2 linked regions of the Nothobranchius furzeri genome follow. The protein of the gene in region 2 binds, or shares a complex with, the protein of the main gene of each other region. Links are inferred from orthologs where the notes say so. Each region holds a gene or a part of one and is shown on either strand. Other genes may lie near its edges.

Evidence for each region. Proteins that work in one complex are often made in the same cells at the same time.
Region 1: the proteins of rab35b (region 2) and acap2b are in contact, whole or in part, in a crystal structure (PDB 6IF3), measured with the Homo sapiens proteins. The link is inferred for Nothobranchius furzeri from reciprocal best matches to the Homo sapiens genes RAB35 and ACAP2. Residues at the interface, in NP_006852.1 of Homo sapiens: Arg3, Asp4, Tyr5, Leu8, Ile41, Gly42, Val43, Asp44, Phe45, Ile47, Lys58, Gln60, Trp62, Phe70, Arg71, Thr72, Ile73, Thr76, Arg79; in NP_036419.3 of Homo sapiens: Val715, Ala718, Asn719, Ala720, Asp721, Val723, Thr724, Arg727, Leu728, Arg730, Met731, Glu734, Met735, Ser738, Glu748, Thr749, Gln751, Arg755, Asp756, Gln759, Met760.

The regions. Positions count from the first base shown.
Region 1 is NC_091748.1:61,554,872-61,558,310, forward strand, and holds the end of acap2b (arf-GAP with coiled-coil, ANK repeat and PH domain-containing protein 2), read right to left. Parts: intron 1,184-3,439; coding exon 1,080-1,183; 3' UTR 853-1,079; downstream 1-852. UniProt on the Homo sapiens protein: GTPase-activating protein (GAP) for ADP ribosylation factor 6 (ARF6). Doesn't show GAP activity for RAB35.
Region 2 is NC_091757.1:28,062,590-28,067,235, reverse strand, and holds the start of rab35b (ras-related protein Rab-35b), read right to left. Parts: upstream 3,054-4,646; 5' UTR 2,825-3,053; coding exon 2,773-2,824; intron 1,008-2,772; coding exon 957-1,007; intron 833-956; coding exon 709-832; intron 1-708. UniProt on the Homo sapiens protein: The small GTPases Rab are key regulators of intracellular membrane trafficking, from the formation of transport vesicles to their fusion with membranes.

The DNA of each region.
Region 1 (3,439 bases), on a different chromosome or scaffold from region 2:
AGCATCAGTACAGAACGTACAAGAATTGTATCCCACATGGTGTTAGCCGAACCACTTGTCTTTAAATTTGTGCTAAAAATGAAGTTTTAACAGAAAAGTCACATTTTATTGCACAAGAGCCGATCTAGGTGTTAATATTTCTTATTAGAGATGAAGTTTCACCACTGAAGCTGACTGCATGTGAGGAACTTGCTTGCTGCTCATCCAGATCATCATTTCAGTAAATGTTTGAGGTCTTTCAGCACGGCCATCTAATGTTTGTTTGTTTACATCATCCTGTTGCTGAAATCATCCAGTTTACCAGGGAAAGGTGTCTTTATGGTTTATGAATTCATGTAAAACTGGAGTAAGGAGCAGAGCAACAAGCATCAGGCTGCTGCTACAATAAAACCCTCCTACACAGGAAATGATGGATCTATCTATCTATCTCTCTATCTCTCTATCCATCTATCTTTCTCTCGCCCGCCCGCCCTCTAGGATGTAATAATCTATCCGTCTCATGCCATCCTTTTTGCTGTTAGTGACAAACCGACGATGCTTCAACCTCAGGATCAATCAGCTGAATATAATTTAGAAATGATGGACTCACAGCTTACTGAATTATCCCAAAATCTTTCAACACAAATTGCTGATGCTAACATTTAAAATTAATTATTTCTCAGAAAAACGTATAAAAAGAAGCATAAAAAATTCTAAAATTACAAATGAATCATAACAGGTTTGTTTCCAGAGTAAAAGTATGTACAGGCCTGCAGAGGGCATTTTTCTAACAAACTAAAACAAATCCCACAGAGGAAACGGTCGTTTTAGGAGTCTGATCGAGCGCTTTTCCTTTACAGATCCGACACATTTCATACGTTTAAAGCAGGAAACGTCTGACGAGCGTTTTACATTCTGTCATTTAGGATTGAAAACTTTACAAGAATCCTTTTCAACGGCTGTACCGTTCCTACGGGCGTCGTCCTCTTCGGCCAAGTGCTTTTAGTTTTCTACTAAACCTTTCGGACGACTTGATGAGGAGAAGCTTTGGTCACATCAGGGGTGGACGACGCTCCAGATGTTCACCAGAGCGCCGCTGGTCAGGGTCTCTGCGCGTCATACTGCTGGTAGCGGTTGAGTTTATCAGGGTCGTTCGAGGCCATGTGGGTGAAATCCTGGAAGATGTCCTGGTAGGTTTCATCACCTGGAAATAAGAAACACACATATGAGCAACTGCCAAAATCACCAAATAATCTCATTTCTTCTTCTTCTGAATAACTGCATCTTTTTTTACATCACATGACAAACTTCTGCGGTGAGTTAGCTTAAACCAGGGGTATTCAATCCTGGTCCTGGAGGGCCAGCATCCAGCGCGTTTTAGTTTTAACCCTGTTTCCACACACCTGATTTCAATCAGCAGGTAATTAATTCTGCAAGAGCCTGTTGAGCTGCTACACAGGTGATTCAACAACTAATCGTGTGTTGGAGCAGAGAAACCACTAAAACATGCTGGATACCGGCCCCCCCAGGCCTGGAATTGAGTATCCCTGGCTTAAACCCCCCAGGAGTCCCAGTTGGGAGGCTCATGCAGAGAAAGTGTTATCAGGAATAAACAAAAATAAAAAGAGTTACCTGTTAAGAGCGTCGGAGTGGCTCAAAGCATAAGAGAGAAAAATGCAGAGTAGTAAAAATAAGAACGAAACTAGTGAAAGTGGAAGAAAAGCCAGCGAACAGTCAGAAACAGGAAGAAGAGCCCTCAGACGTTTGATTTTCATCAACAACTGTATTGAGTTTAAAGTGCAGGAGTTTATGTACAAAGATACAGTTGTGTTGGCCTCAACACCCCAAAGAAATAAAGAGCAGAACAGAAAAAAAGGCACAAACTTTGGGGAGGAGTGCGAGGAAACAAACCAGAGATAAGTTTCAGCTTTAGTGGGTCTCGGTCTGAAATCATTTCAAAAGATCAAAGCAGGTCACAGGATACAGAAACAAGCTGAAAACCACAGAGCTGCACTTTTTTTTTTTACTGAAACAACGTTATCTAAGGAATTTTGGACTTTTATTTTTAAAAAGGAGTAAAGATGGACGAGTTTAGTTCTCCTTTACATTCGTTACATCCCTCATCAGTCCTGCCATTCACAGCTGAGCAATTCCACTCTCTAAACATAAAAACACAGATCTGCACGTTTAAAACAAACACCCTAATGCTGTTAATAAAAACAAAAAACAAACATTATGAACAATCGTTTGTGATTCTAGTCCAAGTATTTCAAACCTGACCACGAAGGCTATTCCACTCAGGATTCCTAAACATCAGATGTGAGCCCTCTAGTGGTTGGCACGTGTAAGTGCAGACATCTCTCTCTCTATATATATATATATGTTGTCCAGCAGGGGGAGCTGTCCCTTTTCTAAGACATAAAAGTGCTTCAAACTTGAGACGCAACTGGAAAACATTTCAGTCAGCAGCATGATTCCACATTCACTCTGAAAATCTAAATGTACTCACTCTTCTGTAAAGCTCCCACATGGTTCACATAAGTAGAAGATAAAAAAGCTCAGCACTCTTAAAACCGTTTCTACACTATTGCACTTACGATTTGAAATCCAGTAACATTCCAGTCGATCACAACTATTGCACCAACAGGTTTTTCCATCTTACAATTTAGGATTTCATGTGATTACAAACAAGCGAGCACACTAAACCGACACAAGTAAACACTTTCAGGTAAGACTGAAACCCTCACGCTGCCGATCCCTGTGAAGCCAGTCTGCTCATTCTGTCCGTCAGACTAGAAGCAAATATATTAAACATCATTTACAGCAGGTACAATAGGAAATCTATAATACAGCTCATAGTTATTTTTAGAAAACAGCTCTAAAATATATATTCTGACCAAGCAAGTAAAAACAGAATAGAAGTTTGATCAATAAAACAAGTAAACAAGCCCTGAAGGAAATTAAGACTGAAAACGAGAAGTGTTCAGTTAGAAGAAAGAAGTTGTTGCATAACCATCATCAGGAATGTGCATATTTTCCTTGGTGCATTAAAAAAACCAATCGATCTAAAACTAAATGATTTATAGACACACCACGCATCTTGTCATTCAGAAGTCTTGATTATTGCCAGAAGCTTTGATGAAACAGGTCTGAATACTGGGAGCGGTTTTAGTCTAGATACTATTAGTGTTAAAACAATTCCCTGACAGCTGATAGAAATTAACCCTCTAAAAGAAACAAGTACATACAGTTGTAAACTTTACACTTGAAAAATAAATCTAGTTACTCTTTCAGTTTTGTGCTAAAGGAAGAGATCTAACAGTAGATCAGATTGGATGGCTTTTATCCTGCCACATTAATGCTGCGCAGCGCCTTACAGGACTGAGCAGAAACACCTGCAGACTTCACTGTCAGTCAATACAGTCAACAGAAGGTCTCATTAAGAGAAAAAAACTGCCTT
Region 2 (4,646 bases):
AGTCACCTGCACACACAGATATCCCCCTAAAATAGCTAAAACTAAAAAGTACTTCCAAAAACATTCAGCTTTGATATTAATGAGTTGTTTGGGTTCATTGAGAACATGGTTGTTGTTCAATAATAAAATTATTCCTCAAAAACACAACTTGCCTAATAATTCTGCACTCCCTGTATGAACCCATTATGTATTTTATTATTACGTTATGTGTCCTGTAGGTTTTCAGTACTTTTTTAGATTTTGTGAGTTTTTGCAAAGCGTGTTTTTCTCAGCCTGACGTGTGGCTGTTGAACGAGGAACAGATAGTTTTACTTTGTTAAATCTTCTTAAATGTTTAAAATGTTTTGTCCTAACCTGTTGTGAATGGAGAGATTTTGAGGGATGGCAGGTTGTGTCAATTACGTGTTTGATAAAAAGTAAATAAATAAAAATGAAAAGCAATTATCTGACATCTTCTATTTATCGATGAAAACAAATCAATATGAAATAATCGTGATGCATCGGGATTTCTAATCGAATTGAACCACTGACCCAATAATCGTAATCGAATCGAGAGACAAGTGAAGATTCACACCTCTAAATTCCACCCAGTCACACAGCAAAGCTCCTACTCTACGTACTCTAGCTGTCTGCAAACTCCTTCCTCTGATGCAACGGTTCCAGCTTTAATCACCCACATGAGAATGCCCCGTAAAAGAGGCTGCTTACGTGGAGGTGATGGTGCGAAAACGCTCCTGCCCCGCTGTGTCCCAGATCTGTAGCTTCACCTTCTCCCCGTTGAGCTCCACTGTTCGGATCTTAAAGTCCACGCCTATCGTGGTGATGTAGCTACCTGTGAGCAGCCATGCGAGCACAAAAAAACAGACAGAAAACAACAAAGAAGAGGAATTTGAGAGCAGGAAGTAAAGAGTAGAAAAAATGGACGTCACACCACAGCAAAAGGTGGAACCACTCACCTGAAAATGTATTGTCTGCAAATCGCAGGAGGAGACTGCTCTTTCCCACTCCTGAGAATGAAACAAGCACAAGATTACAATAAAACAAGTTTCCAACGAAGACAAACACATTTAAAAAAGTAGATGTGCTCGGTGGCACCCGCCTGGTCAACTCAAACAGAGCAGTAGGGAGCTCTGGGGAGATCTATGTCACTACTGTGAGTCAGATTTTGGTTTTACACTTTATATCTCTGCACCATCAGATGACGACAACATGTTTTAAGAGTCAACAGCGCTAATCTCTGCGTACTCAGACAGTTGGTTCTTCTACACATATTAAGTTTTACACATTACAATGAGCTGGGAGGAGTTCAGGAGAGCTGGGCTCCAAAAACATCTTCATTTGGATCTTAGCAGAGCAAAGAGAGCTGATCAAAGGTTAACAAGAGAAAAAATCTCAAAAATAATAGTCAACAGGTAAAAGTGTGCTGTCTTCAGACAGTTTGACTTCTGGTGTTTGAGCTGTCAGACGGACTCGTCTCATCTCCACACACAGGTTTGTTCCAACAACAATAACCACATCAAATGTACCACCATGTCTCTAACACCGACCTGATCGAGAGTCACTTTCTGTCCAACAAATCAAAACACTGACAACATCCTGGACTCCACACACGACTTTCACGCTCAGTGTGCAGGGCCTTCTAATGCAATGCTGTAATACATAAATGATGTACTCAGGAGGCACACGTGCGACAGGAACAACATCCCCAACCTATGATGGAGATCCAGGGCAGGGAAAATCGGAAGGTCTAGTCTTCTTCCTCCCAAGACGATCTCTGCAGAACTGATCTGCCACAATGTGACTGAGGACACTAAGGCTGTGTGTGGGATGTGATGAAGGGTGCGTAGTGCTGCCTTGTCACACAAAGTGAATAGCCAGCTGATGCGGCAGTAGTGCCAGGACTGAAGCCATCAATGGAAGCAAAGATCACTGTTGCATCAAAAGGCTTCCAGCTGGATGAGCCTTAGATGACGCAGCAATGGCTCCATAATTACACCTGCGGTCTGGATCCACCTGTGGCTTCGGGAGTTTGTCTGATGTGAAAGGATTTCACGTTAAAGGAGCAGCACTCCAGCTTTTACACTTCAGCGGCCAGCTGCACCTGATTGGGTGGCTGAAATTAACCAATTGTGAACGGCTAGCTTGCTGAGAAACAGTTTTGCAAATCAAAGGTCCACGGAGGAGCTTAGTTTCCTGCCTGCTAGCAAAACCACATCCCATGCAGCAGCTTCACCAAACCGTGCTGACTCTACAGACACATACACAAAACTCTACTACTTAGCTAAACAACTTTAAAACACCAAAGTAAATGTTTATTTAAAGCAACCAGCCTGGAGCACTGATGTTAGCCTAGCTTCCTGCTAGCTAATATTACATCGCTAATGTGGGACACAAACAGAGAAAATTAGAGAAGCGGAAGAGCTTTAACGGAGGTAATTTAGTCAAATTGTTAGTTTTTATAGAGCTAAAACCAAGTCTTCGCCTACTGGAACAAAAGTAGAGACCCTGGTGCGACAGAGCCGACGCTGTGGAGGCGCTATCCGGCCTGACATGCCCGGTCCGGTCACACAACCTCCGCCCTGTCACGGGCACTAAAACATGGCGGAGCTGTTCATTCCACTCATCGTTTTCAAGGATAAAATATGAAGCGAAGTGAGAGCCCACAGCCAGTAAACTACTCGGCCCTGCAACGCTACTCTCGCTTACCTTGTAAGAAATAAGAAAAACACAACAAGGCCCACTTCCCGTCCCACATCCCCGAAATCGGCTTACCGCTGTCACCGATGATGAGCAGCTTGAACAGGTAATCGTAGTCCCTGGCCATGCCGGTAGCTGGTGGCTATCCCCCGCCTTTTGCTGCAGCTTCGCTTAGCTTTCTGTTCCGACTCCCTTTAGACCGTAGACATTTACCAGCTCCCAGATCCCCCGGCACACGGAAAACGACTCGGTACCCGATGCTGGAGACGGTTAGACCCCGAGCCGGTGGCGTTTTTTTTCTTCGGGGTTTCGCGGCGTCAGCAATCCACCCTCCGCTGCAAACAGCCGGAAACTCCGCTTCCTTCTCTGGCGGAGCTGCGCCCAAAGGAGCCGACGTCACTGCGCATGCTCCAGCCAGAGCGCGGCAGTCCCAGCAGACTGATCACGGACCAGTCGATTCACAACACCTACAGGTGTCAAAGCCCACGTTTACCGAGAATTGTACCCAGTCGAATCATGATCCAAACACACGTCCCCTCCGATGTCACAAACAACTCCTAAAACAATCAGAATAATAAAAACGCATCCAGCTGTTGTGACTGTGTGAGATTAGTGTTTCAGATAACCAGGTAACCTCACGGGTGTGTTTAATACATCCAGCATGACATGCAACTTCTTCACAGAGTAATCCGAGTTTGTAACTTCCTCCTAATGCAAGTTTTCTTTGATCGTGTCATGCTTTATGCATCATGTCTGCTGAACCTGTCCTGTGGTCTTCAAGTCTTTGTGATTCATCGTTTTGTTGTACCAGAATCATCACTGAAAGCATCTCAAACACACGAAATCTTTATTTTGTATTGTCTTTTTACAACAGTATCCAGGATAAGTACAGTTTGTCTTATAGAAAGTTGCTTTCCACAAACAAGTCACACACAATCCAGAGACAGGGCTGATGTTTCCCTAGAGGCATCTTTAACGCTTGAAATCATTTTGATAAAATAGTCAACAAAACATGATCATATCAAAACAAATTTGGCATTTTGTCTCCCAAATACTACAGTTTAGTGCAGGATTATAACCTGCACATCACAAGATAAAAAGGAGTAAGAAACGGGGCTTAAAGGCAACTAAAACGAAGACTGAAAGTTAGAGAAAACAAAAGATACATTTGTAGGGAAAGCCCTTGTGTGTCGAGTGTGTCTGGGGTTCTCCAACTCAGGATTTGTTTTCAGTGTCAGTCAAATTTTAATCAACCTCTGCAGATTTCAGTTTACTGTCAAGTCCTTTTCAATCATGTCAAAATGGTGTCATCGATCTCTTCATTGGAGTCTGGCAGGCTGGCGATCTTCTTCAGAGACCGGCGGTGACATTCTGACAGCAGTTCATTACTAGCAGAGTCCAGAATAGCAGTCATGCTCTGTCACGTAAAAAAGGTAAGAATGAATAATAACCACAGAAATGTTATTATTGATCATGTCTGAATACAATCCCAGAGAACACAGGCTCACCTGCATGGTTTCCTCTCCTTGGCGGAGTTGTAGCAGGTTGACGATGGTGTGATCACTCTGAGCTCTGACGGTGGTGTTCTTGTCCTTGGTGTTGTCCAGCAGACTCTTCAACAGGGGCTTGATGAGGCTGGTATCCATGGGGGGCACTGACGGGTCTCTGAACACCCACCACAGCACTCGCTCTGACACCAGTCTGATGTCACTGGACTGGTTCTGAAGACACTGGGGTTGTCACACACAACATGTCACATAAAAAACTAGTATTACTTATCTCAGAAGTTTTTTCTTCTGCAACAAGACGCCCCACCCCTGGTTCAGTCCAAAATGTAAACCTAGTTTTCTAGTACTACATCCCACCAGTACAATATCCCACCAGTACTACATCCCACCAGTACAATATCCCACCAGTACTACATCCCACCAGTACAATATCCCACCAGT